4 linked regions of the Drosophila melanogaster genome follow. The protein of the gene in region 1 interacts with the protein of each later gene in a pairwise test. Each region holds a gene or a part of one and is shown in the gene's direction. Other genes may lie near its edges.

The links.
Region 2: the proteins of SkpB (region 1) and Acox3 interact in a two-hybrid assay, tested with the Drosophila melanogaster proteins (one large-scale study listed by BioGRID).
Region 3: the proteins of SkpB (region 1) and PGRP-LA interact in a two-hybrid assay, tested with the Drosophila melanogaster proteins (one large-scale study listed by BioGRID).
Region 4: the proteins of SkpB (region 1) and CanB interact in a two-hybrid assay, tested with the Drosophila melanogaster proteins (one large-scale study listed by BioGRID).

The regions. Positions count from the first base shown.
Region 1 is NT_033778.4:12,136,784-12,143,295, reverse strand, and holds SkpB (SKP1-related B), read left to right. Parts: upstream 1-3,066; 5' UTR 3,067-3,311; intron 3,312-3,369; 5' UTR 3,370-3,371; coding exon 3,372-3,857; 3' UTR 3,858-4,001; downstream 4,002-6,512. Other genes in the region: Smyd4-4 (SET and MYND domain containing, class 4, member 4), read right to left, coding at 456-789, 902-2,025, 2,082-2,345; CG18343 (uncharacterized protein), read right to left, coding at 4,139-4,438.
Region 2 is NT_033779.5:6,442,877-6,451,063, reverse strand, and holds Acox3 (Acyl-CoA oxidase 3), read left to right. Parts: upstream 1-3,201; 5' UTR 3,202-3,214; coding exon 3,215-3,457; intron 3,458-3,628; coding exon 3,629-3,763; intron 3,764-3,823; coding exon 3,824-4,314; intron 4,315-4,390; coding exon 4,391-4,868; intron 4,869-4,932; coding exon 4,933-5,203; intron 5,204-5,267; coding exon 5,268-5,422; intron 5,423-5,486; coding exon 5,487-5,777; intron 5,778-5,834; coding exon 5,835-5,945; 3' UTR 5,946-5,994; downstream 5,995-8,187. Other genes in the region: retm (real-time), read left to right, coding at 50-371, 932-1,212.
Region 3 is NT_037436.4:9,331,377-9,340,874, forward strand, and holds PGRP-LA (peptidoglycan recognition protein LA), read left to right. Parts: upstream 1-2,955; 5' UTR 2,956-3,059; intron 3,060-3,233; 5' UTR 3,234-3,253; coding exon 3,254-3,551; intron 3,552-4,312; exon of another isoform or gene 4,313-4,381; intron 4,382-4,677; exon of another isoform or gene 4,678-4,916; coding exon of another isoform or gene 4,917-5,007; intron 5,008-5,335; coding exon 5,336-5,557; intron 5,558-5,609; coding exon 5,610-5,845; intron 5,846-6,077; coding exon 6,078-6,284; intron 6,285-6,349; coding exon 6,350-6,493; 3' UTR 6,494-6,960; downstream 6,961-9,498. UniProt on the Drosophila melanogaster protein: Peptidoglycan-recognition protein probably involved in innate immunity by binding to peptidoglycans (PGN) of bacteria and activating the immune response.
Region 4 is NC_004354.4:5,329,576-5,336,846, forward strand, and holds CanB (calcineurin B), read left to right. Parts: upstream 1-2,923; 5' UTR 2,924-2,943; intron 2,944-3,166; exon of another isoform or gene 3,167-3,252; intron 3,253-3,477; 5' UTR 3,478-3,525; intron 3,526-3,794; 5' UTR 3,795-3,829; coding exon 3,830-4,342; 3' UTR 4,343-4,874; downstream 4,875-7,271. Other genes in the region: XRCC1, read left to right, coding at 527-577, 639-1,895, 1,956-2,044, 2,107-2,435, 2,494-2,612. UniProt on the Drosophila melanogaster protein: Calcineurin is a calcium-binding and calmodulin-binding protein found in all cells from yeast to mammals, and a calcium-dependent, calmodulin-stimulated protein phosphatase.

The DNA.
Region 1 (6,512 bases):
TAAAATAATTATAAAAACGACGTAGGTTGCATAATAATCCTTTGTTTGTTTGTTTTCATCGAAGACATTGTTGTGATCAAAAAATAAATAAACTTTAGAATTTTGAACTTTCGAATTGTTGTGAAATGTGTGGTGGGTGTGCTGGGCGTTGTGTGGGTGTGCTGGGCGTTGTGTGGGTGTGCTGGGCGTTGTGTGGGTGTGGTGTGCGGGCTTGGTGCGGGGTAAAACATAATCAAAGGTCGAAAATGTACAATTACAAATATAAAAGTTAAGGGCATGCTCCCTCCCCATCGCGCTGCTGCCTGCGCTACAGACTTATGGCAACAACATGTATGTATAATCAATTACTCTCCTTGATTTGTGTCTCGCTTGTAATACGCTGTCTCCAGTTAAAGTTAGCAAAGGAAAAGTTCGTCCGTGTTGGTTGTGTGGGTTGGTTCAGCGGCAGGATCCGATTACATCTTCGCCTTGAGCGGCACTGCGTCCGCCATGATATGCAGGGCCATCTTTAGGCACTCCTCCGCGGAGCTAATCTGCTCGCACGGATAGTCGTCACCGTATTGCGTGAGGAAGTCGCAGTACTTTCGATAGTTGCTCACCGCGAAATCATAGTTGTAGGAGCTCAGTGCCAATTCCGTGTCATCGGTAACCGATGGCACCGTCGCCTTGTGCGGCATCATTCCGAACATAGGATAGTTCAGCTCGCAGCCCTCGCATTTGCAGTCGAAGCGGTACTGCAGGGACAGCCTTTTCAAACGCTGCTCCTTGCTGCAGATGGCGAAGTGAGCACTAAAAAGTTGGATATCTATTAGTTTTAGTATTTGAAGAGAGCTGCAGTGACTTGGACCCCTATTAGCTTGAACTAAAGTGGTGTGGTCAGAATGCTTTGGTTACTACTTACCCGTAATTGTCGTAGAGCACATTTCCCGCCTTAATAGGCCGCAGGACGAACATGTACGCCTTGGTGCCCTCGTATATCCTTACAGTATTCGGCGCACAAGAGTGATTTATGAGCGAGAGGAAGGCGTACGCCCCAGACGAGTGCGTCTGGTCGTCCTTGGTCTCGTTAACCTGCTCGACCAGGTCGATGCCGTGCATATTCGAGGGAGATGTCTGCAGATGTCGGAACAGGAGGTCCGTGAAGAAGTTCACGCCTTCTTCGCCGCCCAAATATTCCTTGACGGGTGTGTATTCGATTATGAAGTGCTTGAGCACAGCACAGACCACGGAGCGCTGGAAGAGATCGGAGACGGAGCGCAGGTGCTGGTTTGTCACCAGTCCATGGATGGCCCGGTAGTGCTCCTCCGGCGTCAGCTCGTTGTAGTTGAGGTCAAAGGCGCACTTGTCCTGGTTCTGCTCCTGCTCACAGAAGTCAATTAGCTCCTCGATGCTGGGAAAGATATTCAGCGCGACCAGTGTGGTGCGCAGTGCGATACAGTGGATCTTGTTGAACATGCGGTTCAGAAAGTCAATGATGGGGCACTCGTAGCGGTGATAGGTTTGCATGGCAATCGACTTGCACTCCTCGGAGCAGAACATCGTGGAACAGCAGCTGTCGCAGGGTATGAGGGTCAGATAGTTCTCCCGCTTGCAGGTGGCACACCGAATGTATCGCATCGGCGTCAGCAGTGTGGAGCAGAAGGGCTCCTCCACGGACACAAGATCCCCAACGGCCAAATCCCGATTGGTCACCACAAAGCGACCCTCGGCGGCGGTTTCGCGCAACTCCAAACAGTCGGCGATGAAGGGCACCTGGGCATGCGGTTCGAAACTGAGCTTGAACTCATAGGGCACCACATCCGGCGGTTGCTGATCGAGTAGCTGTTGGCAGTCCCTTTCTCGCTTGTCTAGTTTGTGGCTCAGTCTCGCCGGATAGTTGGCCTGCCTTGCCAGCTTGATATTGTCCAGGCATTGCCGATAGCGCTTCCACTCGAATAGTACCGCCGACCGATTAGCATAGCCGATGGACAGGTGCTCCGAATTCGGTTCGGCATAACAGATGCTTTTGTTGTACAGCTCTAGAGCCTGAAACGAGTCGCAGGGATTAGCTTAAGTTTGCCGATTGAGGGGGCAATGATTACCTGGAAGTAATTCCTGTTCTTGAGCGAAAACTGCTCGTTGCCCAGCATACGGAACTCCACGCTCCGCTTGTTGCACTTGTCCTCTCGAAGCGTTACATTCAGGAATATCTTTTCAATGTACTTGAAGTCAATAAGAGCGCGCATCACGAAGTCAACCTTGCGATGGTTCTCCTTCAGCTCGTTGAACTTGCCGGATATGATGCCGATTAGTTTCCAGTCCTGCAGCTTCTTTATCAGATCATCGCTCACGTCGTACACGTCCATCTCTTGTGCGGGGTAGTTTCGGAAGTCCTTAGTGTCCTGGAATTTTCTCCGGATCGGATTAGATCTGATCGGATGGCTTCGGATCCTTTGGTTCGGTCCGCGTGTCGACGCCGCCGCCTGTTTTTTTCAGCCGGAAAAAATGTTCTTTTGGCCCACTGCCGGTGCCGCGATTTCTTTAACTGGCGCAAGTGCTGACCGCTAATTAGCGATTTCACGGGCGATTACTATTCGGAAATATTCTAATTATGCACACGGCGATTTTAATGTTATTTTTTTGACGATTCCGCTGGAAGCAGTGTGGAGTATAGCCTGCGAATATATAACCCAGCACAGAGGGAAATGTACTAAAAAATGCCGCAAGTTGACTGCTTGCACTAGCCGCGACACAAACCCTTGGCCTAGCTTAAAATTGTTTACAAAAATATTTGAAATTTGAAATTCATTAAATAAAAACAGGATAAAAACTAACTATAAAGGCAGAATTTTGTAGGTTTCTGTTTAAATAATACAACGCCCAGCACGCTTGAATTGTGCCAAAATATATATGTTTAAAAAAAATATATATATATACATTATAAAAAAATATAACTGAGCTTTTGTTTACCGCTAGCTGTCACAGTGTCTCCACACCATTAACTGTAATAGGCGCCATCTTTTAAAGCCATTCCGAGTATGTGCACACTGGCGGCCGTTTCACTAACAAATTTCCTCTTCAAATCGTACGACGTTCTAGTTTTCTAAGAATCCGGGGAATTATTGGCAGCCAAGTTCTTTATTTAACAAACGCTCTGTTCTCAGGCGGCCGCCGCACCAGTCCGGTTCAAGTTGAAGGCAAGGGAATATTATTTTTAGCCAGTAGGCCACAGCTAAGTGACATCGTGTTGTGTCTAAAAATTTTGTTTGGCTGCGTCTGCAAATAAATCAAACCGATTTCGTATCAAATCTTGGGATCCAAATCAGCAGGAGGTGTGTACGAATAAAATTGAAAATATAGATATAAGCAAAAATAAAAATTTTTACGCAGAGATGCCCATCATTCGGCTGGAGTCTGCGGACAAGGAGATCTTTGACACGGATCAGGAGATCGCCAAGTGCTCGGAAACGATTCGCATTGCAATAGAGGATTTGGGCGATGAGAGCGACAACAGTGTGCTGCCGTTGCCGAATGTCAACTCGCTGATCCTGAAGAAAGTGCTCCACTGGGCCACCTATCACAAGGACGATCCTGTGGTTACCGAAGAGGTTGAGAACAAGGAGAAGCGCACTGATGACATCTCATCCTGGGACGCTGACTTTCTCAAAGTCGACCAGGGCACGCTGTTCGAACTGATCCTCGCGGCAAACTACCTGAATATCCAGGGTCTGCTCGACGTCACCTGCAAGACGGTGGCCAATATGATCAAGGGCAAGTCGCCGCAGGCTATTCGCGACACCTTCGCCATCCAGAATGACTTTCTGCCACAGGAGGAGGAACAGGTGCGCAAGGAGAACGAGTGGTGTGAGGATAAATGAATACCATCAACTTACCATGACGAAATTAAAGCTTAAATTTTTTGTTTAATCAACATTTCAATTGAGATAGTTAGCTGATCATGTTAAGAGTCAGCAATTGTTCTGTTGGGTTAATTAAATAAAATATTATGCTTTAATGTTGGCAAGTGCTCTTTAACAAAGGAATTAATGACAAACCGTTTAATGTAATTTACAGTGTTCTTCAATTTGGAATTTATATTTGATTTAGTTAATGTAGTTTAAAGGCCGTGGTCCCGATGGCATTCGCCAGATTGGTCACTTCACCCGGAATAGCTAACAGATGTGATGTCGACGGAGCCCAAAGCTAGCAGCAATCGGATGACGAAGAGGGCGATAACCACTTTGAGGACGATTCGCACGCAGGACAGCAACAGTCGGAAGCCGAAAAGTATTGCGTAGCACGTAGCCCCCAGGAACACCACGTATGTGATCAGATCGCCCAGAACAGAGTACATGGACGCGTTCCTGTAGACACATTCAAGGAACTGCGTGCCGCATTGTTCGCCATGTCCCCAGCCGTATTGCTCCCGTCCGTTGCCAATACTGCAGCTTTTCTCCATGTTTAGACTGACGTATATGCTGGATAAGCCGACAAATGGGACATTTCCTTTGTCCAGTGTGCAAAGCAAATCTTCCAGTTGGAAAAAATCAGCTGTCTAGTGTGACCGCATTTCGATCGTAGTGGCAGCACTGCATTTTTTCAAAACATCGAGGTATGAGAAATGGATAGAATTTTTATAAACGTTACTCGTAGAGTAAAAGGTATACTAGATTCGTTGAAAATTATGTATCAGGCAGAAGGAAGCGTTTCCGACCATAAAAAGTATATATATTCTTGATCAGGATCAATAGCCGAGTACGCCTGTCTGTCCGTCCGTATAAATGTCGGGATCTCAGAAACAATAGATCCTAGAGAGTTGAGATTAAGATTGAGATTAAAACGGAGTAAATCGAAACGGAGTAAAGTCCTGACTCAAATATCTCTAACTTCTAGCGGCTCTAAATTGGGTCTTGACTAACTGTCGATAGCCCCAAACAGGTCCGCGACAAAGATGAAGTCTAAAGCCTTTATAAGTAAGAGGTATGTGATAGTCTACGGTTTTTAATGTTCGGCGATTGTGTAGTACATCACAAAAAAATTAATTATAGCTACGAAAACATAAAAAATACATAATTGGTTTTATTAAATATGCAAAACTTTTTGTTTACAACCTATAAGTGTTTAATGCTTGGCATCGGCAGGAAGTCCAAAATATTCTAAAAATAGCTTGTACCTTTCAATTTTTAAATAAGTTCTAAAATAAACCGCACTTTATCAATAAATGCTGTTTCACTTATCACAACCAGAACCAAGAGCGTTTGATTAAATTTATGAAAAGTTTTTAAATTAGCAGCATTAGCAACCGCACAGCTAATTATTGCAATTAATGTCACTAATAAAATACAGCTTAAACAATAATGTATGAAGTATAGGTGTTTTTTCAAATTGTGGTTTGTTCTCTGGATAACGTGCATTTAAATTGGAGTACTAAGACAAACTGCTATGCCGCACTGATGGTTCCATTCTCGAGTTATCAAAGTGGCCAAACCCATTTTTTTTTTCAAACTACAGTGTCTTAAAGCTAACCTGGCCATAATTGTAATGGCGACCTTTAAACTTCAACGCTGTGCATTGAACTGGCTGAAAATTTGTTAAATCCCAGGGATTCCCCAGGGAATGGCTGCCGTGCAAAACGATACCTGAAACTGATGCTTCAAAAATGAAAAAGAATACAATCACGACAGGCGAACGAGCAATTTTATTTTTCTTAGAGCTCATTCGGTTCAACGTACTGCGTCTACTATTCGCCGGCAAAATTAAAATTAAATAGCAGTCAAGTCGCCCACCCAGCTTACAAATGTGAATAAATGGCGCAAAGTAGGGTCTTTTATGTATATTTGTACTTATTACTTACAGACAGTGGGTGTGAAACCATGAGAGCAGCTAGACCTAAAATGCTTTAGATCATAGCGATTTTACCAAAAATTCAGTTTCCCTATTCTTTCTGTCAACCTGTTATTAGCCATGCTCTTTGCCACGCAGCTTTTCCGCCGCAAACTATATGAAAAAGTGGACACTGGACAAAGGACGTAGGCGGAAAGTGCAAACAGATGTCCAACTGGGCTGCAACTGCACTCTGGACTAGAAACGAAACTTCAGGGAACTGAACTCGACTTGATGCAACTGACAGCCTGACTTTGACACAAAGCCCAGGAGGACGGGCTCTAGGGCTATAAATAAGGCACGACCCCACGACCATGTGACCATGTGGTGACAGTGATGCCAACGCACTATATAATTCATTGGGTTGCACAGTTCCAAGTTGAAAAGACAGCTAATAAGTTAATTAACAGCACTGGATGATAGAGGTCACCCTGTAGTAAAGTATGCAAGATAAACCGTTTGTTTTGATCTTGAATTTTGGAAAGATCAAGAAGCTTACACACTGTGCGCAAGCTTAAGATCTTTTAAAAATGTGTTGAAAAGCAGACTGGGCCAATTGGCTTTGCTTAAAATCGCACGTCTTAAGAAGAACTTCATTTATAGTTTCTTTGTTTGGAAAGAACTGTAAATTTTTGTGCCATTTTGGAAAC
Region 2 (8,187 bases), on another chromosome or scaffold:
AGCCTGCCCACCAGAAACTGCTCTAACGTATTGTCCTCTTTCCACAAAGACCATGATTCACGAGGGCGGACTGGTGCCTAAGACGTTGTACAAGATGAATTCGCTGGAGGATCACGACGACGAAGTGACCGCCGAGCTGCCCACCACTGCCGCGGCACAGGCTTTGGTTCCAGGCAAGCGCCTGTCTGCCAACCAGCAACACGATCATCGCAATCTGTACAAGAGTGTGGATCTCAAGGCCGGATTCGCGCACGAGCTGCTCATCCGGAACGAGGATCCCAAGAGTGTGCTCACCTGGGACTTCGATGTGATGCGCAACGATCTGCACTTTACGCTCTACCGGGTCACCCAGGAGCTTCCGGAAAAGAATGGTGAGTTAATAATGCACTTACAAAAGGTTTTCATGTTGCTTTTTGTTTTTCTTTTGTTCTGAGAACTGGTTTTGGTTTCAAAGGTGCGAATATCACGATGTTGTTGCCTCATTAGAAGTTGTTTTTGTTTACTTAGCACTTTTATAAAAACACAAAGCCACGATAAAAAGCGAAAAATGCGGAAAGTGGAAACTCTTACACCCTTTCGAAAAGAAAAGAAAATTTGTTGTCAGGCAACTTAAAAACAAATTAATAACGTTTGGCTTAAATTGAATAGTTTACTATTACAATTAAGTATTAAAACGTATGTTAATTTGTGTATATATTTATTTATATAAATTTCCAAGGTATCTGTTGCTAGGGCTCTATTAAATTGATAACGCGCGCATTTTGGTTCCGGTTTATTGATAGGGATTGCTTTTCATATGTGTTTTGATAATGTAGTAAAATACGAAAAAGTTGAACCTTATTTTATAAAGCTTTTTGTACTTTGAACCTTTTAATTAATTAACTTGATTAGCTTGACAGCTTACATATAATTAAATGCCCTTCGCCCACAGATTCCGCCGTCTCGTACTTTGATCTGCAGGACTTCGTCGAGGGCGTCAATTATTTCCGTGAGGAGCCAACGCTGATTTGCCGGCACAAGGAGAGCGTCCAGGGGTCGCACGTGATGCATCACAACGACAGCTATCTTATGCACTGGTTTAGTCCATCGGGTGCCCAGTTAAACGTCTTCTACGAGGTGCTCAGCTCGGCCAACTACAAGGGTTCGATGACCAGCCTGCAGTCGGCATTCTCATCGAACTCGTCGGCGGCCAGCTCGGTGCAGAGTCGATGATATGAGAAAGCCGGGGATGGCGGAACGAACGGCGCCGAATGGAGATCCCCGGCATTGGAGGAGCCCATAGCGGCGGACATTCTCACGGGCACCCTGATGGAGAAGAGCCTGAATCTATTTGAAACGCCGGACGTATTCTTTTAAGACCGAAAGTGGTAATATCTTGTGTTTTAGTTGTCTTTAGTTGTTTAGCAGAATGTTAGTTTGATTTTAAATTGTATTTAGCTCAAATAGGCCATTTATTTCCTTTTAAATTTATTATATTCATTCAATATATACAAGCATTCATATTATTGATAATCTTAAGAAAATTAGAAATATCAGCGGTTTAAATGAGCAACACCAAAATATCACGCAACGTTTTATTTGAATCGTCAATTTGAATTTTTCGTAAGCAGCTCTATAAATGAAGTTTTAATGCGTACATATATATGTAAAAGCGACGTAATTTTTATAGCTTTTTCTAATGGAACATTTTTTAGCAACAATTAAGGAACTTATTGCGATTGCGCAGCCACTGAAACGAAAATAGAAAAAATTGAAATTGTAATCAATAACTACGTGTTACCTAATTAGTTTAATAAACAAATTGCCGAAATGGCTTATTGCAAGGATTTTAGCCAGAACTTATACAAAAGAGTGAAATGTAAGATTTGAACTCGAAATACACACGTAGGTTATAGCTAGACGTCAGATTATAATTATAAATGTAAAATTGTATTTTAAACATTCGAATGCAGAACGTTTTTGATTGCACACTAATTACCCCGTCATTTGTACGCCCTTAATTGCTAATATCAATCAATCTCCAAAGTGTTTTTAAAATCAAAAAAGGCAACTTCAGTGTGTTTTTTTGGTTATTATTTATTGTATTAAAAACGAATTACTATGCGGATGTTTACAATTTAGTTTTATAAATAATCTGACGTGTATTGTAAGAATAAACTGACAAGCCAATAACGAAGGAAAAATGAGTGCATGTTAACTAAGTGTGTAAGTTGTATTAAGAACGTAATCAAATAAATGCTATTAGATCAATTACATGTACATATTCGCATTTTATTGTGGGCTCTTGAAAAAAATAAACTATTCAACAGTTTTAATTAAAATCAAATTTAGAATCCATGAAAATTGTATGGTATGGATATGGATGCTCTTTTCATATTTTAAATGTGGATTGTAATGTTTTTATATATATTGTAATGTTTTTATATAACAAAATAGATAAAATTAGACCAGCAAATGACTCGTTTCTGATAGAAAGAATATTCAAATTACGCGCCAGACCTACTATTCCAGCCCTGGCTACCTTGAGAAGGTCTGGCAACGCCCCCGCTAAAACATTTTGTGAAAACATTGAATTGTGATATTAAAGAAAATTAAACATGAAATTTATGTATATTATGTATAATAATTAAATAATTATATTATATAATAATTAACAGAATTTAAAAAACTTCACATTTTGTATTTATATAACACCGTTCTTTCTCATGGCTTAAGTCACGTCAAACTATGTTATCTTCAATGGTGAAAAACTGGGTTAAAATTGTTTGTTTATCGCGCTTGTTGTTGGCTGATGGCTGATAGGAAATTAAAGCAATGTTTGTGGCCGCTAAAAGATTCGAATTTCGCAGGCAGCACCCACCACCACCTGCACGGGCCGCCCTAATCCCGCATTCTCCTAGGGCCCGTATCTTATCCGCGGCGGATGCAAACCACTAAAAGGCTACTTGGCCATGAAGTGCGGATAAGCGGATTCCTTCTTATCGCCGCTGGCCATTGGACATTGGCTATTTTACCAATAATAGTTACGAGTGCCTGGACTTTCAAGCATTTCGCGCCTAGCATTCGAAGCAGCCAGACCAGTCGCTAGAATCGAACTCCAACATGGTTGCATTGAGCACAAAGTAAGTACCCCTGCCCCACAGCCCCATCGCCTCGACTGACGACCACAACGTCCACCAATCCAACATTCCAACAAGAGCCAGTTCTCTGGGCAATGGCGAGCGGAGTAGGCGATGGCGATGGTGGTGACCAAAACGGTCTGAACTCATTACTAACCGCACTGGGCGACTATTACAGCGGCCGCCGGGAGGAGAAGGCTGCAGCCAACATCTACGATGACAAACGGATCTTTCCCGACTTCCGTAGCGGACCTTTGGAAGAGTACCGTGAGCGGGCTAGCTTCTGCTACAAGCGCATGAACGTGGTGCTCGAGGGCGAGGATCACATACGGCTGAAGGTTCGTTACCATTTCCAGTTTGTTACATATGTACATGGTCAGCGGGGTCGAAGTGCAGACTGCCTCGATAGCTTTTGTCGGAGCTGCAGGCCGCCAACCGCCCGGTCTAATCGTCGCCCGTTTCTTATCTGCACACTTGAGTAATTCGTTTACATGTCACTCCGTCTTTAGCACAAGGTGTGGCAATGGATGGAACAGCACCCCGACTACCAGCGGGAGCCAGGATCCGATTTGGAACGCACCCGCGAAATGGCCAACAAGCGGCAGCATCTTCTGTGGGAGCAACAGTTCTACGGCGTCAACGAGGTAGGATGCGTTGCGTACTCCTGAAAGTGTGGCTGCCTAAATCTCCTGTCTTTCTTTCAGTATCTTGGAACCCCACATCTTCTGCTTGCTTTCGGACAGGCCATCTTTAGCTACGATTTCAGCACTTCGGTCAAGTTCGGCCTTTCAACTGGCATGTTCCCCAGCACGCTGGTCTCCAACGGATCTGGCCGCCTGGGCAAGTACGTGGCCAAGATCGCGGACAACCGCATTTTGGGCGCCTACGCTCTCACTGAGATTTCTCACGGCACCAACGCGCTCGGCATGCGCACCCGTGCCACCTACGATGTGAAAAGGCAGGAGTTTATCATCCACACGCCAGACTTCGAGGCGGCCAAGTGTTGGGTCGGTAATCTAGGCAAGACTTGCACGCACGCAATCGTCTACGCCCAGCTGTACGTGCCGGATGACAAGCACCAGGGCCTGCAGGCCTTCCTTGTTCCCATTCGGGACGAGCGTACATTGCTTCCATTCCCCGGCGTAACCGTCGGCGATATGGGCGAAAAGATCGGTCTCAATGGCATTGATAACGGGCAAGTACTTTCTTCTATCAGTTGATAAAACTAATCAACAGCAACAGAAATAATTTCGATTTGTTTGGCATTGCAGATTTGTGATGTTCAACCAGTATCGTATCCCTAAGGCAAATCTGCTGTCCAAGACCGGTGACATCGATGCGCAGGGAAACTACACCAGTAAAATTAAGGACGAGCGTAAGCGCCTTGGCGCCTCCTTGGGTGCCCTCTCCGTGGGTCGCGTCAATATCACTGCTATCACGTATGTGGCCTTGAGCAAGGCTGTGACAATTGCCACTCGCTATGCGGCCAGCAGACGCCAGTTTGGCCCTACCAACAGCCCGGCGGAGTGGCCCGTGATCGAGTATCAGTCACAGCAATACCGACTAATTCCCCACTTGGCCACCACAATCGCCTTGCGGGTGGCCACACTCTGGATAGGCAAAGAGAACGTGGATTTGACCATGAAGGGCTTCACTGGCGAGGACACGTCGCAAGCGGGCATGGAGATCCATGCGATCTCATCGGCACTCAAACCAGTTGCCACTTGGGCTGCCAGGGATGGCATCCAGGTATGAATGCTTTATATATGTATATAACCACTTTTACTTATCGGTTATATTGTTTTAATCTCAGGAATGCCGCGAGGCCTGTGGCGGTCATGGCTATCTTAAATCTTCTGGCTTGGGCGAACTTCGCAACGACAACGATGCCAACTGCACCTATGAGGGCGAGAACAACACGCTCATCCAGCAAGCGTCCAATTGGTTGATCAGTCTGCAACGCAACAATGCCGACTTCGTGGCAGTTTCCCCATTGGAGACAGTCTCCTTCCTGAAGGATATGGACACAATTCTGCAAAGCAAGGGTCAGGAGCGAACTCCTGCCGAAGTTTTGGATCCGCTCAGTGAGTATTTCTTAGTTATCCAAATATAAGATAGGAATAACGCAATTTTATTGCACTTCTATAGATCTACTTAATGCCCTCAACTGGCTTACCGTCTGGCAACTGGATACGACGGTGAAACGAGTTGAGGAACAGCAGCGCGAAGGAAAGGATGCCTTTGAGACGAGGAACAACATCCAGGTCTTTGCCGCCCAGAAGCTCTCCATTATCTACGGCGAGGTGAGATGCCAACCCTCTAAACCCCAACTAAATAGTAAAATAACCAAGTTTAATATTCTTTTAGCGCACCATCTACTACGTGTTTTATAAGTTTGTAATTGGTCTGCCCGACTCTGCTGAGAAGAAGGTACTGCAGCAGGTGCTCTCCTTCTATGGCGCCCACTTGGTCACAAAGTACTCCGCTGCTTTCTACCGCGGTGGTTACTTCCGCGAAAACTCTAACCAACTGGAGCTGTACGAACAGGGCATTCTGGCTCTGCTTCCCCTGCTGAAGAACGAAGCCATTGCTCTGGTGGATGCCATTGCTCCCACAGACTTTATTCTAAACTCTCCTCTGGGCATGAGCGATGGAAACGTAAGTGGTCTACCATAAGCAACTGCTACTCTTACTAAAGATTCTATCCTTTCGCAGGTCTACCAGCATCTGCAGCGCACGCTTGTCTCCACTCCAGGTGTCTACGAGCGTCCTCATTGGTGGCGTGATGTTACCTACAAGGATTACCTTAAGCGCGCCAAATTGTAGACTCACTGTAAAATCCCAAATAAGAAGACTTTACTCGTTGAGTTTTTGTAAGAAACTGATTTTATTTGGAAATATCTTCGGTTTAAATAGGTGACATGAGAATCGCATCTTAAAGTAAATGGCCTACGCAGAGGCCTAAGTAAATAGTCCCCGCCTTATCGAGGTCCCACGCTCGGGCACATCTGCCTATCTTGAGCGGCGAGGACCTTATCTGTGGTCTCCCACTAAGGGACTATTTTAGGAGGCGGGGAACGATCTCAAGTGACTGACTCATGTAGTGTGCACTTAAATTACATGTTTTTGAGCAATGCACCCATGTCGCCTTAGATAACAAAATCCTAAATATAATTTATCGCTCTCGATTCATTTACATAAGATATGAACGGAGCCCAAAATTGTAAGTCTTTAAATATATTCGTGTTCATGTGTGAACATTCTGCCAAAGGGCCAGCAAGCTGAGATGTACATTAGTATATTAGTTGCATTTATAACAGTAGTGGACTGTATTTATTTGATATATGTTCATTTATTTTGCAACTAAGATTTCAATGGGCCTAGTTTTTCTGGCTTTTAATTTTATTGGATTACAATTATGGTTTATATTATTTTTAATTCAACAATTTGTACTCAATTAACTTATTTTAAACATTTTGCTTTTTCTATGTAGAAGTACATTTTCTATTAAACAACGATATAGTGGACTGTATATTTTTATTTGTTATATTATTTTATTGTTTATTTACTATTGATATTTATAGTACTGGCAACGGACCTGCAAAGGTTATTGCTTGCATTCTTTGTTGCACAGCACATTTCCGTATGAAATATATTATTAATACTATCATTAGTATTAAAGCAATAATTAATCCAGCATGTCCGGAAATATGATGGAAATGTAAATCTTTCAATTTTTGATGGTTCTCTTTCATAAATTTAATTTCATTATTCAATCGTTCAAATTCCTCAGTATGATTTAATATTGATAGTTTCAGCGGATCCCAAATAATCTTCGGCGCTTCACTAATTTCTCCTATATAAGGTGTTGATAATAATTCTTCACTTTCGGACTGAATGTTATGGTGGGCAACTAGAATTTTATCGTCGGTTCTTGCCGTACAATATGGCGCAATGCTTAAAACTCCTTGCTGAGGCAAATCAAACAATTCAATTTGAGAGCCAGTACATTGCAGACGGACTTTTGAATTCGCAGGAACCTTAAACAACCAACTACTTTTCTTTTCTAACTCTACCCAGTAACTTTTAGAGTCGACTACTGTTTTATAGATGCAGTTCGCCGCTTTATCTGGCTTTAGAGGCTGAATCTCACATGCATTATCATTCGCTGAATTCCAGGGCCAACTTCCTTTGCATATTCTCTTATTTAGTTGCCATTTCTGACATTGATTTAATGTGGCTTCCGTCATTATGTGATAGGAATCTATCTCAAAATTATAAATTAAATATTCGGACGTTGTATGCACCATTATTATCCGATCTTCATTTCGAATTGGCACCGGAATAAGCCTGAACAATTTGGATGGATGCCTGCTAAACAGAGGCACTTTTGCACTAATGATCAATTTATCGTCGATGAATAAACCCCTGGCTGTTAACAGTGTATACACTTCCTTAAGTTCCGTACCTGACCGTTTTCCTGGAATTACTAGGTTCTCCGAAAGACTCTGCTGAATTTTGGCAATTTCTTTTTTAAGCTGATTTGGCCTGAGAATATTTGTATTTAGCCTACCGTGATTAATATCAATCAACAGGCTTATAATGCCTGCTTGAATTTTTTCGCCTTCTTCAATCAATGAGTGTAGCTGTTTCGTAATCATAAAGAATTTTATTGATTCCTTATAAACATAATAATTTTCTTTAAGAACTTCTGTCATGTTCTCAATTCTTATTTGCATACTTCTAAAATTGGAGTTAACATCTTCTGTTGTTCTCTTTAATAGATTAGAAGTTGAATCAACCACAGATGTTTGTTTTTGAATTAGTTTATCAAGGTTGTTCTGGTTATCTAACAAATTCTTCATATTTTCTTCTAATTGCTCTCTATCATCTTCATCCATTATACCAAATAAAATATGATACAAGGAACCCATAAATTCGAAAGGAGCACGCTTGCTTCTAGATCTAGACTGTATCATAAACAATTTATTGTTTTCTTCAAGTTCCGATAACTGACTTTGCATATTATCTAAGACTAGACTACATTGCTCTTCAAAGCTATGAAGTC
Region 3 (9,498 bases), on another chromosome or scaffold:
CAACAATGGCCACAACAGGGAGCATCATTGGGATAGGCAATGGCAATTTACATGTACAATGCAAAAGTTTCGATTTTATTGTGTGGGAGTGATGGGGATTTTCAATTTTTTCTCTTATTTTTCCGGATGGATGGTGGGGTGTTTTTGAATGGGTTGGGTTTTCTGGTTGAGATGTCTGATTCTGTTTGTTTTTACTCTGACAGCCATAGGAGATCGAAAACGCATATACTCCAATACTCCACATTCAACGTTCCACGATAAACACAAAGGGCAGAAATATCGAGCGATTGCCGCTGCCGGCGGTTGCCAAAAAGTCAAAAATAGTTTCGAAACGCCATTTGTTGTACTTATTTTGGGGAATGCCAGTTAAGTGGAGTGACTTCATTTGCCATAACACACTCGAACAAAACCTGAATGTACTTTTCGATATCAGTTTTAAATGTTTAAAGGGGCTTTTTGTGGAAGCATTTTCTAAGAAGAATCAGTTTAAGGGCATATTATATGAAATATGTTTTCTAAGTCCTATATACAGCATATTGAATTTGATGTACGATACATTACATCTTTTCTTTACAAAACTGCTAAGTCATCCGATTTTCTATTTGTCGAATGATATAAAGAGATTGAACTCAGCTTTTTTGGAAGCCAGATAAATTGTTAGCAATTTCAAGCATGAAACGCATCGCATTCTACTTATGCACATCTACTCAAGCCGAGATGGATGCACATAGATACTATATGGCACTCTAATGTAGTTTATAACCACAATTTAACATGGCCAGCTACCGCAGATGCGGTGCATTGCCTTGGCTATATCTAATTTGCATACTGTCTGGGTCGATTATATTACTGATGCTGATGGATTCCGGACGCATACTAATCAATTGGATTGTTGAGTGTTCATAAACCGAAAGCCAATCAGTTCAGCATTAAGATCAGCCATGTTGGGGATTCTACAATTAAGGGAAAACAATGATATGATGATAAGATATTTGATAAATGTATCTGAAATCTTTAACTCGTATCTTTCTTAAGTTTGCAGAATCGGCTCTGATGAAGCTGTGGCAAGGGCCTCCAAACGTATTAGCGCACCCATGACAGTTTAAATTTCCACAGAGCCATTTTTTGTGCTGCGCTTTTCGTTGCATATTTCAGGGCGCCGCTGCCCATTGCTCTTGTTGGCCAGGAAACACAGCGAACTGCCAAATGGCTTGCGCAAAGCGGAAGAAAAACTAAAACAAATGTCAGTCGTAGTTGACGCGTTGCCACCGACCACCAGCCACCAGCCACTAGCCACCGGAGCGGTTCCAGAGCCTCCCTCCCCCCGTCATCAGCCCCTTGATCCCTGCCAGCGAAATGCAAATGTCATTTGCAGTTGACACTTGACTCAGCACTTCGCACTGTCCTAGGGCACTTTGGGGTTTTCACCTGCGTCTTTGCGCCCGGTTTGCCGCTTTACCCCAAACCCAGCCCACTTCACTTCACTCCACCCTTAACCATTTACTGCGTTTGGTGGCACAATGGCTGCTAGACTCACACACCCGCGCAGACAGCTGGGTGAATAAAAGAAAGTAAAATAAAACAAAAGTTGGGGACTAGCTCGAAAAAAAATAAAATGGGGGCAAGCTGGGGGAATAGGGTGTATGGCAAAGGGGTGCGAGGGGTGTCGACTAATGCCAACTGAACATGAATAAAGTCGTGGCCCCTTGGGAAGCTGCTACCGCTGCCATGTCGTCGTTATTCTCGTGGTCGTCATTAGGAGGGCAGACGTCAAAGTATGCGCTTTGTTTTTGCTGCGTGCCATGCAGCGTGTTAATAGCCAGGCACCGGGCTCCAAGCCACAGCGAGAAAATCCCCCCCACCCTGACCGGAAATTTGAATTAATATAGCATTCATAAGATAAAATCCCAAAAAGTCTTAGATTCCTAGATGTCAATGGGTTGCGAAGGGTATAGAAAACAAATGGTTTATAATAATTAAATAAATTATAAATATAGATCACATTTTAAGGTAAGCTAATTCTATGCCAAATTCTCTCAGTGTATTACCGTGAGGCATGAAACCGCTTGCCGCCCGAAAGCCAAAAAGACCAAGTTGACATAGTCTGGTGGATGGGTGAGATGGATCGTGATGAGGGGCCGTGGCGGTTCACATGGACCAAGAGCCATGGCAAAGTCAAGTGCTGCAGTTGCCGTCGTGTGGCGAAAGTGAAGCTTGCACAGCGTGCAGCGAGTGGCTGACATCTCGTGTGGCTGTTGGTTGAGCGTTGAGCACATTAAATTGATGCGCTTGATAAGGATTACAAAGAAAAAGTGGCTTAAAAAGAACACGTATTTAAAAAAATTGCACGAAAATTAAACGTTTTGTACAGCAAGCCAAACTAATTTAAAACATATTTCCACTTTTAGATTATATTTATTAAAACATTTTAACATTGAATGTTTTTTTTATATTCGAATATATTGAGGTTCAACGGTGCGTATGCGTAATTAAGACGCCACCTGTTCGGCTAGTCATTGAACTTGAAAAAAGCTTTGAGGGCTCTTACTTATGCTAACATCCCCAAGAGGGCGACACTTGGAGTTCAGTTTAAAATATAAAATAAATGCTTTATATTGCTCAAATTTTCCCATTAGAACATAACTATTAATAATTTAATTTATTTTCCAGATTAGCTTTGAGTACTATTCCACTAAATTCAGACACTTTATGCAAATGACTGCCAGTCATAGGCCTGCAATTAAATTGTAAAAAATGCAAGATAAACTTTAAAAATTTCCCAGCTGAAATGATTTTCATGCCATGACAATATAAAAAAAACCGGAGAGTGAGTGCTAATGGAATCGCAATCACTATAGTGCCGAGTTAGCGAGCCAAGAGAGAGGATTCGATATTTTGTTTACTTTTCAGTTTCATCCCCACCGGCTGAAATGCAACTTTGAGCAGTTGTCGTTCGACTGGCGCGCCAGCTACGTACTCCGGAAAGAGTCACGGATTTTCTGAGATTTGATCATCTGAGATCGTCATATTCAAGCAACCCTTTTTAAAACATAAACAAGGTAAGGTTTTTGCCCTTTTCATATGGCCTTTTAAGGAGCAAATAAAAGTTATTATCTGCAATTACGTTGATACATTCTTAAAACAAATAAAAACCAGGAGATAAGTGGCTTTATAAATAACTAATTTTATGAAAAACCCGTAATATAACGACACATAACATATGATGTTTTCAGCAATCCAAAACGAATCGGCAATGTTCGAGGAAAACAATAGCCCCACAACCGATAATTCGCTGTGGACACTTCAGGGTCGTCAAAGAGCGAGTCCCGCCCAAAGGTTGCACAATCTCACGTCCGCCGGCTCATCGACCTCATCCTCCGGCCTTCCGTTACCGCAGAATATCTTCACAAATCCAGCTATCCAGCCGTCCAGCGTTATAAATCTCAACCACTCCACCGACGTGGTAATCGGTCCCATGACCCAATACCAGGGACCGGTATCCATATACTATATGGATTATATGGAGGCACACGCCATGCAAACGGCTGCAGGTGAGTCCCCGATCCTGAATGGAAAATTATAGTTGTAAACGGGAAAATTAAAGCAACAATTAATTAATAAAATTAACATATTTCTACTGTATAACAATATAACAATAATATACGAGAATAATTATATTTTTTTTGCAAATACTATTCACTTTTTTCCCAATGTTTTTAAATATTAAGCTAAATAGTGCAGGGTGCTGAACTTTACCCAAATAAAAAGGTATTTTTTTTTGGTAAATTTAAATTATTTTAACATAATATATTTATTTTCGAAACCGGTTGTTTTAAATTTATTATGTTCAGTTGCCAGATCGTGGTTAATTTCGATTTGGGTATATCAGCAAGTTTTGATTCAGATCACGAATCAAACTAATTACTAATAAAGTGTTTTATTACGATTTCACTTGACAAATTCAACTATACGACAATTGCATGTTCTGAAGATCTTGTTCAAAATGTTAGCACTTGCAATTAGTCAGCTTAAATGAAAAGAAAAATTAAATATGTATAATTCATTATGGATAATTAGTTCCACAACTCGATCGATCACTATTCTTTGGCTATGGGTTCAATAATTTAGCGAAAAGAACAGAGCAAATGAGTGAAAAACCAATGTAATTGAAATGCAAATAGCGTGGGGCGGGATTCCCGGAATAAACGTACACATAAAAAGTCGGGATCTCGAGCAACAAGAGAGCACTCAACGCTCAGTTGCACTCGGTGGTGGTGAGAGCTAGTTTGTGGATCAAACTTTAGCCACTTGCGATGCACGGCGCATATTGCGCATACGTCACGTAGTACGGAAGAGCGAAAGGGAGAGAGAAATACGAGAAGTAAGAGTGCAAAGCGTGAGTGTGTAAAAAATGTGATATGCCAAAACAGCAACAAAAGGCCGGCGATATCATCATGACGCACCCTTGCCGCCCCCTCAAAACCCCACTTCCAACCACTTCCACCCCCCCCCCCCTCGTCAACTCAACCCCTGGCCTTTCTTCACGCAAGCAAACACAAAACATGTCAACGCAAGGGTAGAGCGAGATGGCTGACTTCCAGCGCTTTTGCAATTTGTATGGCTGTTGTTTCTCTTTCTGTTCCATCGACAGCTGCGCCGCATTTCAGTTGTTTGTGCGACGGGTTCAGGTGCGGTGGCGGTACCAGTGGCACTCCGCCGTCCGATTATCGGTCAAACCCATTGTACCACATTATAAAACAATCAATTTGCAGACCACCGCTGTTCCCAGTATTTGCTATGATATTTGTTACCGATGACTCAGTGGTCAATTACTCATAATAGATATATAGGCTTATAATGCCGTGTTTTGTGTCCAATAACGAAGAGGTGTGATAAGCTTAGTGGATCGAAGTGCCATGAAACTGTTACTAAAAGTTCACTCGGAACGCACGGCGCGCAGAAGACGTACACCCGAACCCAGTTTAGCCCACTCCCGGGATTCATCAAGTACATACATAAAATCTAATATCTACTAATAAATTAGATTTACTCAGCGCTTTCACAGGCTTAACTAGATCCGTGTTTTCCGACACCGAAAAAAATATTTAGAGGCCTGAAAGATAATTGAGCTTAAAAACGTTTTAAAATTATTTAAATTTTCTAGATTATGATTTTAAGTTTCCGACTTGTTTGTTGTTATAGAAATATAAATGCTTTTGATATGCAAAACCGTAAAATGTTTCAAAAACATTTTAAGTCAATATATCCATTGAAACGATACAATTTCTTGGCTTTTGTGAATCATATGCTAATTGATTGACTTTCGCTAATTAAGGAATCAACAGCAACAATGCCAATGGTAATGGCAACGCCAATCGAAGTCGTGATAAGTCGCCATCTAGGCGGGTCACTCGGAACACCATCCTGCTGATCACGCTGATCCTGTTGGTCCTGGCCACCGGATTGATTGTGCTCTACGTGGAACTCAATCGACCCAAGCCCGAGTTGCCCAGTAATAAAGCCATCTATTTTGGCAACAACTACGACCACCAAACGTGTAAGTGGATGGCACTTGTATAATCCATATAGCCAATTCACCAATTCTACAGTTCCGAATCTAGGAAACGGCCATCTCGTCGTCGACAGAGAGCAGTGGGGAGCGTCGAAGAACTCTCATGGTCTGACCATTCCCCTGAAGCGACCCATTCCCTACGTCCTAATCACCCACATTGGAGTGCAGTCTCTGCCCTGCGATAACATCTACAAGTGCTCCATCAAGATGCGCACCATTCAGGATTCAGCCATTGCTGAGAAGGGTCTGCCGGATATCCAATCCAATTTTTATGTAAGCCTGTTCTTGTTCTGCACTCTTTTACGCGCCTCAATGGGAAACATAGTTCCTAAAATAAGCCTTGTATAATACTTTTTAAGCCTTAAAAATCAAAATTTCTTCGAGTGTAGTAGGGAAAAGAAATCCCGGCGCGTGCATTTGTGTTCCCATCACGTTCACGTGCCATTTTGGGCATTTCGCTTTCCGCTTACGCAAATTGTCAAATTTCCGAATTTGTTTCGACCAGGTTTCGGAGGAGGGTAACATCTACGTTGGCCGCGGCTGGGACTGGGCCAACACGTATGCGAACCAGACATTGGCCATTACCTTTATGGGCGACTATGGCCGGTTTAAGCCCGGTCCCAAACAGCTGGAAGGTGTCCAATTTCTGCTGGCCCATGCAGTGGCCAATCGAAATATTGATGTGGACTACAAACTAGTGGCGCAAAATCAGGTATAATTACTTACTATATATCTGGCATATCTGGTGACATAATAATTTAATTGAATATTTTCCAGACTAAGGTGACCAGAAGCCCGGGTGCATATGTGTATCAAGAAATCCGGAACTGGCCGCATTTCTACGGCTGCGGAATGGACGAAGCACCGGCCTGCGGCATCGAATTGGGCATGAAAACGGAATCGTGGGACGCCAAGCAATAGCTACAGACTTTTCTACCACCTAAGTGTAACCAAGCACAAACTGTATTTTAATACATATACTAAGGCGAATGGAGCTTTCTTTTAATCGGTTATGCTGGCTTCGAAACCAAAGTAAACCGGTTGGGAGCAAGCGGTTTATTTATAGTAATATATATATATATAGTGTCTCTCTTCCTCTCTGGAGCTCTGTTTAGTTTTACTGTCGCTCAAAAAGCTGGAAATTCCCAAGCCGCAGTCAACCTCTATCAGTGCCAATACCAGTACCCCTTTTATTCCCTCATAGACTTTAACACTCATCGATCTTGTGTGTGTCTGTGTGTGTGTGTAAATATATGAGAGCCTTTGTGCGCCAGTACAACATCATTATCGGTAGCTTCACTTCACTTCACTTATATAGACGATGTTGTGATCGCTGTGGCTGCCTTTGTCATTTATCTGCCTTTCAACGTGAATATATGTACAATGATAATAATGATGTTTTATTTTTGTTATCATATGGAGTCATTACAATCCTATTTACAGGAAGACTGGTAATAGCAGAGAAATATATTAAAAATGAAATGGATATTTGCCAATAAGATCTGCTATCATCACCGACCTTCAGTTCAAAGCCCTCAACAGAGAAGTACGTTCGATGATTTATATTGGTAAAAAAAAAAAGAAACTCCTTCGAAATGTTTATGTTTTTAACTTGCGCATCAAATGATGAGCTGAAACTATGACGACATGGAAAGCTAATAAACTAGTGGGTGTGCCTTTTAACCCTCTTTTCATCAATGACCTAAAGTCCAACCTGCCCAAAAGAGTGACGTACATACATTCATTGACTAATTAATCTCACGGCGCCTTAAAAAAAAAATTATACCTACAACGCGGAACGAATTTTTGGCCAAAACAATGACGAGAGTACGGCACGTGTAAAAACCAAAAAGAAGAAGAAAAAAACACATATGCGAAGAGGGAACCAAAAAAGTAAAAATAATTAATAATAATTAAGGTAAGAAAATATGTGGAGGTAGGTATATTAAAATAGCTATGGTGATTGATTTCGCAACCGTTGTAAAGAAATTATTATCTGCTTCATTGGAAATGATTTACAATAATTACTGGCATTTTTCGCAATAAAATAATGGGTCAACAAAGAATAGATTGCCTGGCTACAAAAGGCATAAATCATTAGATGTTTCGGTGTAGAACTTTAACTGCAATAAAATAATACATTTTAAAGGCCACTCAACAAGCTTATCAGTAAGTCAGGAACACTGAGAGAAAAAATATTATAAATAGTCTACAACTATTTCGATTAAAGCTCGTTGCGCTTTCCACTTATAATTATATTTTTATTTTTCTTTTCTGTAAGCGTGTTCGGAATTCGTTTCGCCAATTTGTTGCTCTTTACGTTTTATCCATCAACAGTTTCCCGGCGCCCTTTTCAGACTATCAGAGATCGCCGAACCGCCGTTCGCCTATAATTACATTAAATATTTTTCAACACAAGTACAATGGGTCAAGCTGGAATTGGAAGAGAAAAAAAAGAGCTATGTACACATGTACATATGTATACATATATATATATATAACTGGCCTGTACCACAAAGTGAAATAGCCAAAAACCGATTGCGGGCCGCAAAACAAAACAATTCTCGGAAATGGTAGCGCAATTTAAAATGTTCACATTTTTGCCCACACTGCAATGTCTGTAAGTGTTTTGGTAGACGGGAGAGAGCCGGAGATTTGTGTTGTTTATTGGTTGAATAAATAAAAAATATATATATTTATATACATACATATGTACATATATAATACGTATACGCCGATTTGTCTGTGTCGATGTCGGTGCGGACGACTAAACAACTAAACAAAAACAAACAGTCATCGTCAGGTGGGAGAAGTTGGAGAGACCATTCTCGAGCCACGGGGCGTAGCTGGAGGTATCGTTATAAATTTGACTAATATCTGGAAGATTTATAAAAAAAAACCCGAAATCGAGAACAGGTTCCGCGACTTAATGACGCTCGGAAAAACCGAAATATGCAGCTCGCCAGATGCAGTTATCGGAATTCTTTCGGTTTCTTGGGATCACTCGCTTTTCGTTTAAACCAGTTTCGATTGAGAAAAAGTTGTACCGCTATCATAAGTTATTAAAATGTACAGTTTTTTTTAAGGAAAATTTAAATCATTGCATTTTATTGGTTAACGCTAGATTACAAAAAGGATAGAAAATACAACAGAACGCGTTCATATTATGTAATATGTAAACACTATATGTTAAAAAATTATATTTTCTAAAACGATTTAGAAGTTTTTTGGAACAAGGCTTTTGAGTTGCACTCTTAAGATCTTTTGAGAAATCACTTATTAAAATGCAAATCGGTAACAAGTTGGACTGCCTGAAAATCGGACTCAAATTAAACAACTTTGGTTAAATAAACGCAAAAACGCCGACCGCTCTCTCCCCATCATTCTCTTTGTTTTTTTTTTCTCAGCGATCTGCTCTCCCTCACACACGCTCCCCACACGCTGCCATATCAGACGCTCCAGCTTTTCAGGCCGCTGCGATTTGATCGCCGCTCAGTTGATCAGAGTCACTCGAACGCGCCGCTGCTCAACGATTCGAAATTGGCGCGAAACGGTATAAAAAGTTCGACTTACAAATTGGCTATATAGTATAGACGCTCAAATATCAAACGAGCTGCAACGGTTTTCGTCGGCAATTTAAAGTGCGTAACGATATGCAAAGTGTTAATATAGAATAGAATATAGAGTGATTATATAGAATATTACACACCGCAAAATAATCATAATCCTATTATATGACTAGTGACAAATAATTGAGCAATTATATCGATATTTAAGTGCAAACTAGTTTGTTTCTCCAATCGTTTTATGTTCCAGGAATGTTAATTAGCCTTTCGAAACACGAAAGGAAGTGAAAGAAATTCGTGGAAGTGAAAAAGAAAACATGCTATCGAAACATCGATCGAAAATCAATTAATTTGCACATA
Region 4 (7,271 bases), on another chromosome or scaffold:
TTCACCTTTTTTTTGCTTTTCACCAGCGCTGCCACTTTGGCGATTTAATCTCTTGAATAATATAATATAATATAATGAATATAATGAATAATATAATATAATATAATTATAATAACCTTTGCAAACAAAACAGATCTTTAGCATTTTCTTAATAAACGTAATGAAATAAAGTTGAATTGAAGTGACCAGTGTTGGTTAACCAATTAACTAGCTAGTATTTTGATATGGTGACGAAGAGACCATATTTAGCGATATCCAGCTAGGCTGTCAGCACAGCTAGTGATGGGCAATTAGTGCACACAATACAGGTTTTATTTTTGAAATAGTTGGTTAAGCAAAATCAGCATAATTCACCGCCCATCATCAAAAGATAAAAGAAATAAACAAACATTCTAGCGCACATGGCAACACATGCAACCGACGCAATTCCCTTTCGACAATCAGTTTAATCGCAGGCGCAACTGTCGGCAAAGCAATTTGCCGCAAAATCATCGGCGTCTCAGTGTAAATTCATGCGACTTGCGAAATGCCAATTGCGCTTTTCAAGTCCGTACGCGAAGTGAGCAGCGAAGATGCGGTGAGTAATGCTCCTATATAACAAATGTACATCTATATAACTATGCAATCCCGCTGGCCAGGTGCACGTAGCGGCGAATCTGCTCAAGGAAAACGCCGGCAAGAAGTGGCGAACCAAGGCGCCGGGAGAGAAATCCGCATACGTTGTGCTGGAGTTCGAGGAGCCGCAACAGATTACGGGCATCGATATTGGCAACGAACATGCCGCCTTCATCGAGGTGCTGGTCAGTCGAACAGGCTGCCAGGCGGACGATTTCCGCGAGCTGCTGCTATCCAGTTCGTTTATGACGCCCATCGAGAGCAAGAATTCCAGCAATCCAAATCGCGTTCGCTGTTTCAGTAGCACTTCGCTGGCGGAGAGTGCACTGCCGGAGAAGTGGAAGCTGCTTCAGATAGTCTGCACACAGCCCTTCAATCGTCATGTGCCATACGGGCTCTCATTCGTCAAGGTGCATGTAGTGGCTGCTGCGGCGCCTAAGGTCAAATCCCTAGTGCCGCAGGGTGTTATGCAATTCGGGACCTTTAAGCTGCGCGAGGAGTCGCCGGACTCGGAAACGGACAATCAAGTGAACAGATTTCACAGCTGGAAGAAGCAGACGCAGCACAAGTCGCCCGCGATCAGTGCGACCTCCACAGCAGCGGCCATTCGGGACGCCGGCTCCACGGCCCTGCGAAGGCTGAGCGCTGGCAAGGTTTCTAGCCTGGCTGCATCGCCCAAAACCTCGACGTCGCCATCACCAGTTCTCAATGCTCTGCGATCGGTTTCTCCGACGCCATTGGATGCCAAGCCCCTGGATCGCAATCGAGCTTCACTCTTGTTCGGCGACGATGATGAGGACGTGAAGGACGCTGAGGTCAATGCAAAGAAACAACGGCTGAGCAAGCATCTGGAGGCGGACAAGGATCGACGGCGATTGGAGCAGGAAAAGGAGAGGGAGAGCAGAAAGAAAAAGTCAAGCAGGCACTCCTTGGATAAGTCAATCAGCAAAGAAGACAAACCACCGGCAAAGGAGCACAATTCGTCCTCCAGAGAAAAATCCACAGCCAAAGAAGAGAAAGAGCAATTACGAAAAGAGGAAAGATCGCATTCGAAGGAGGAGAAGTCCAGGAGGAAGGAGAAATCTAAGCATGATCACAGATCTTCGGACACCTCGAATTCCAAGGAAAGTTCGCGCCCAACTGCGCAAAAGCGACATTCATCTCCCACCGCAGTCGCAGTAACGCCCGCCAAAAAGCAAAAGATCGTGGACACAGCGATTCAATACCGTCCCCTTAATCAGTTACTCAAGGGTGTGGTCCTGGTCATCAGTGGCATACAGGCAAGGAAATTCTTTTGATTGCATCACAACTCGATTTAAACCCATCCCTTCTGCTTTCAGAATCCCGATCGTGCAGACTTGCGTTCGAAAGCGGTCGCCTTGGGAGCCAAGTATAAGGCTGATTGGGGATCAGGATGTACCCATCTGATGTAAGTGAAGTCCAGATTGATCTAGTATGCGCCCGCTAATTCTTAAAATGAAACCCAAACAGATGCGCATTCAAAAACACACCGAAATACAATCAAGTGAAGGGCAAGGGCAAGATTGTGACACGCAGTTGGATCGAGAAATGTTATGAGCTGAAGAAGTACCTGCCATGGCGACGTTACGCCCTGGATACCAATGACATTGGCCAGCCGGAGAGCGATGAGGAGCTTTGCGATGAGGCGACGAGGCCACGGCGCGATTCCAGCAAGGATGATGTGGCAATGCTAGAGGATAGCAAGCTAACAGCTCTAGCGGATCAGAATGATGTGGAAATGAATCCAGATGCCTTATCGGGCATTGATACGGAAGATGAACTGCAGCGCGTGGCTGAGGGTAAACTCTCTGTTGTTCTGCCCTGTTTTTTTTTAGATATTTTATTGTTTGCTTTTAGAAAACAAAACGAAGAAAGCCAAACTAAGGACTACAGTAAAGACGAAATCGCAAGATATATACGAAGTTAGTACCGATGAAGAGGATTATCTGGAGCTAAAGAAGAAACAAATCGATTAGGTGCCATTTCTAACCTCATCTCATATTTTGTATACGACTTTATTACTTAAATTGCTTGTAATGTGCAAGTATCATATTTTTGTACTTTGTTAATCGAATATGCTCGTTATCAAAAATTCGACAAATTCAAAATAAGTGATTAGTTTGGACCATTTTGAAAAAAGAGCCCAAGGAATAAATATTGATATTATAATAGATCTATCGCATGTTCATTTAAAAAAAACTATCAAATAAACCACCTCTGGGCTAATGCGATGGTCCATCTCTAGCAGAAATTCACAAAAAATGTACTAACGCATAGCACGGTACTACAAGGACTTTCCACCCATAGGCATGCTATGGTTAAGCGAAGAAAACCCGTTTACGCCCAAAACTATGCATTAAAAAGACTAAAAAGATAGCGAAAGTGCACAAGTGGAAAACCAATTTGCAGCCCCCGAAAAGAACAAAAAAAAAAACAGGTGGAAAAGCAACAGCTGTCCGCTTTTGACAGCTGCGCTCTCCGCGCTCTCCCACTCGTTGGCGAGAGCTAACGGTGAAAACTCTCTCACTCGCCTGCAGTCGTGTATTTGCTGTCGAGCGAGTAGAGAGCTTTTTTTTTGGGAATTTAACAATCCAGCGCAACTATTGTTTATTTATGGTAAATATCTATGGCTACCACTTGCGTTTTCGCAATGCGATTCACCCAAGCATCCTGGCCAACGCAGTTCCATCCGGATTTGTGCCACTGCAGAGATTCCACTCCAACCTTGCTGAAGCGAAAACGAGTGGTGAAAAGTTGTGGAATTTGGAAAAATCGATACGATTGAGCCATAATTAAAAGTATGCTGCTAACTTGCACTTCACCCCCCCTTTTTTTTTTTAGAGCGTGCCAGTCGTTGAAAAATTGAGTTATTAACAACAAAAATTTTGGGTAAGAAAGTCGTGCTGAAAACGCTGAGAAAAAGTGCAATCCAAATGATTTCGAAGCTATTCAGTGAGAAGTGGAACATTGGGCAGCCTGGGAGTATGCATCAGTTTTTGCACATACCGAATATCCTTCTAATTTTTCTCATTGGTAACTCAAATGTTCCTCAATTCTCTGATGATATATTTTTTTTTATTATCGAAATTCATTTGGAATCATCTTTTTCTCCGTAGAGCAGAATGCCCTGCCTTCTAACGCTTGCGTTCCATTCGCAGATCTAGACCAGAGAACTAAGTAACCAAAGGCCAGCATGGGTAACGAGACCTCCCTGCCCATGGACATGTGTTCCAACTTCGATGCGGACGAGATCCGTAGGCTGGGCAAGCGATTCCGCAAGCTGGATCTGGACAACTCGGGTGCGCTGAGCATAGATGAGTTCATGTCGCTGCCGGAATTGCAGCAGAATCCGCTGGTGCAGCGGGTTATCGATATCTTCGATGCGGATGGAAACGGGGAGGTGGACTTCAAGGAGTTTATCCAGGGAGTGTCGCAGTTTAGCGTGCGCGGCGATAAGCTGTCCAAGCTGCGATTCGCCTTCCGCATCTATGATATGGACAATGATGGCTACATCTCGAACGGGGAACTCTTCCAGGTGCTCAAGATGATGGTGGGCAACAATCTGAAGGACACACAGCTGCAGCAGATCGTGGACAAGACCATTTGCTTTGCGGACAAGGACGAGGATGGCAAGATATCGTTCGATGAATTCTGCTCGGTGGTGGGCAATACCGATATTCACAAGAAAATGGTTGTCGATGTTTAGATTGAGCCACATAATGAGTACTATATATATACAATTGTAGATATGATACAATATGTATAGCCGATTTTCCGTAATGAGTGTGTGTGTGTGTGTGTGTACCTTCACTTCCCTTGAAACATGTTCAGCTTTATAATAAACGGTCTGTCTGTGAGTCTGTGAGGGCGTTTGAGGCGTGCCAAAAACGAAGCAGTTTACTCAATTTATTGATACCTATCGCATATATATAGAGTACACTTTGTTCCAAACGATCCAAACCGATCGATCTCTATCATCCACAGAATGCAATGAATTGTGTCTTATACTCATACTTGAAACCACCGGCAACGGACCACTCAACCAAAGAACTCATCTATACCCCTCCTTCCATTCCTCCTTCCATTCGAAATGACATACTTTCGAGGTTCGAACAGCTCTACGATTGGGATTGTTCGCATCATCTTAAACTAGTTTGTACTATATCCTAAACTCTACGTTCAATTCAAGCCTAACACTTAAGTTCATCTCTCGACTAAATGTTGTGTATAAGATATGTAAAAAAATCAAAAAAAAAAAAAAAAAAAAAATTGACAAAAGAAAACTACAACAACAACTACAATTAAACACTGTTTATCGCAAAGCTAAACTCAAAACCCCCAACAAGCGTTTACTTGGTGATTTTTCGTTGTACTACCACTATCTGTTGATGGGAGGTGGACGAATGTGGGCTGGGTTCTTTGGCCGGCGGGTTCAGATGCCCTCAGAGTTCCACGGTCCGCGAGTCCTTGGACGAAGAACACGTGCGTGTCGTTCAGCTCGGCGCCCGAAATTCCGGATTCCCGAAAGCCGACCCCGTAGAAGATGGTCACCACAAAATGTGGGAAGGAAGCCACCGGCCGAAAGTAACCGAAAACTTTTTGGCCGTTGGCAACGATTAAATGTTTTGTAGGTCACCGATTTTCCAACTACACGTGTGTGTGTGTGTGACGTCCCTCATGTGACAAGACACACCAACATACATGTTACGTATACGCCACGTTGTTTAGAACAAAGCAGTGGAAGAAGTTCATCCATGTTGAGATTAAAATTACCTTAGTATAGAGCAGAAATGTCACAAATGAGTGGGAAAAGTTTATCCATTGATATAAAACATCTATCTACTAATGAAACATAAATATTACGTATACGCCACGTTGTTCAGTACAAATTTGCGAATGCGGAGCCTTCCTGTGGATTTAAAATAGAACATAAATATCGCAAAGCATTAAGAGATGATAATCCATGTTGATATAAAACACTTAAAAAAATGTTACGTATACGCCATGTTGTTCAATACAAATCAGTTGGAGAAGATCATCCCTGCTGCCGCAGAATACTATTTTATATATTTCCCACATTTTTGGTACCGAACTCAACAAGAATTTCTCGCAGTGTGGACAACAGGAAGCCAGCCAACTAGCTGTTGGGTCCGCGTAGAACTTGTACGGTAACAGAGCCTTGACCACGGAGTCACCTGCTGGGCGATTGGGCCACAGTATTAGTGAACTAGGGAGGTCCTGCGAGGGTCCTTTGTGTGCGCCAGTGTGCGAGAATGCGTGAGTGTGTGTGCGTGGTATCAATAAATTATTATATGCTGTCTGTCGCAAGCTGGTTCGTTAATCATTTTCGCCTGGGCCCTGCCCCCCGCCCCCTGCCACCTGCCCACGCTTCGAATCCGACCTCCAAATGAAGGCATTTCCATTTTGAAAATTAGTAGGGTTAATGCTGAAGTTACACCCGTACACCCGTATACCCGTACACACGATTCCCAAGGAGCAACCTGCAGCCCACTAATTTCGCTCCTGTTGCTGCGTCACGAGCCCACGGTTTGACCTTTTTCCGATTGCTATTAATTGGTTTGATTAATGTGCTCCAATTTTCGGATGGTACGTAATGTCGCCGGTCCCCAATAATCGAGCATTTCCATACCGACCAATGCGTCCATCATTTCATTCACGGGACTTGTATTAATCGATGGGCCATACATACAATTTGTTACTTCGATGGGTTTTTCGAATGGGACAGGTGATATATACATTTATATATTTCCGGGCACGGCGAGGAGATGATCAAGTTTAGATAATAGCATAATATATGTATATCTGCGCTTCGGGCAAATATTATTCAATTTTCTATCGAAAGATTACCGGTCGGTCATTGATGTCATCCCAAAATCTGAGGCACCCCCATCTTGCCACAAAACCTATTGATCCCTTTTTTTGTATTTGTGTGTGTTTTTTTTTGTTTTTGTCTCCGTTTATTTTTGGATACCTTTTTGCCGCTTCTGTTGGCCGAAGTTGCCTCAAACTTATTTCGCTTGAATAACTTCGTTTCGGTGGCAACTATTTAGTCAAACGGGTTTTTATAAATTATGCATGTACAGAAATTCTCCCAATTTTAATGGGCTGGCGAGCGAAGAAGGGAGGGGGTATATACCTGTTTACCACCAACACAAATCAATATACCTCATATATACTTTCATACATATACACATATATATATTTATATATCATGTGTGTGTAATGGAGTTCGGACAGGTTAGGGATATCGCATAGCCTCCAAACGAAATTGTCAGCTTTCATTCCGCATAGTCCTTGGCCAACCGAAATCTCTGGGCTTATGGGCTCTGGCATTTAGTTTTCGATGCCCACACCTGGATGCACACCTGGAAAATAAAAGCTTTTTAGTTTATGTTACCTGTTTTGTGCGTTGTTTTCCTTTTGGGCTGTTGTGTTTTTGCAATAATAATTGTGGCATTAAGTCAAAAGCGGGCCTGCGAAAACAAATGCCAAATCAATGTCCATGTGTGTGTCTGCCCATTTGACACCAGCGTTCAAAATTCTAGTAGTGACTAACTACCTTAGTCTTATGGTGAATATTTCGATTGCCATAGAATTAGCTGGGTATTTCCGGC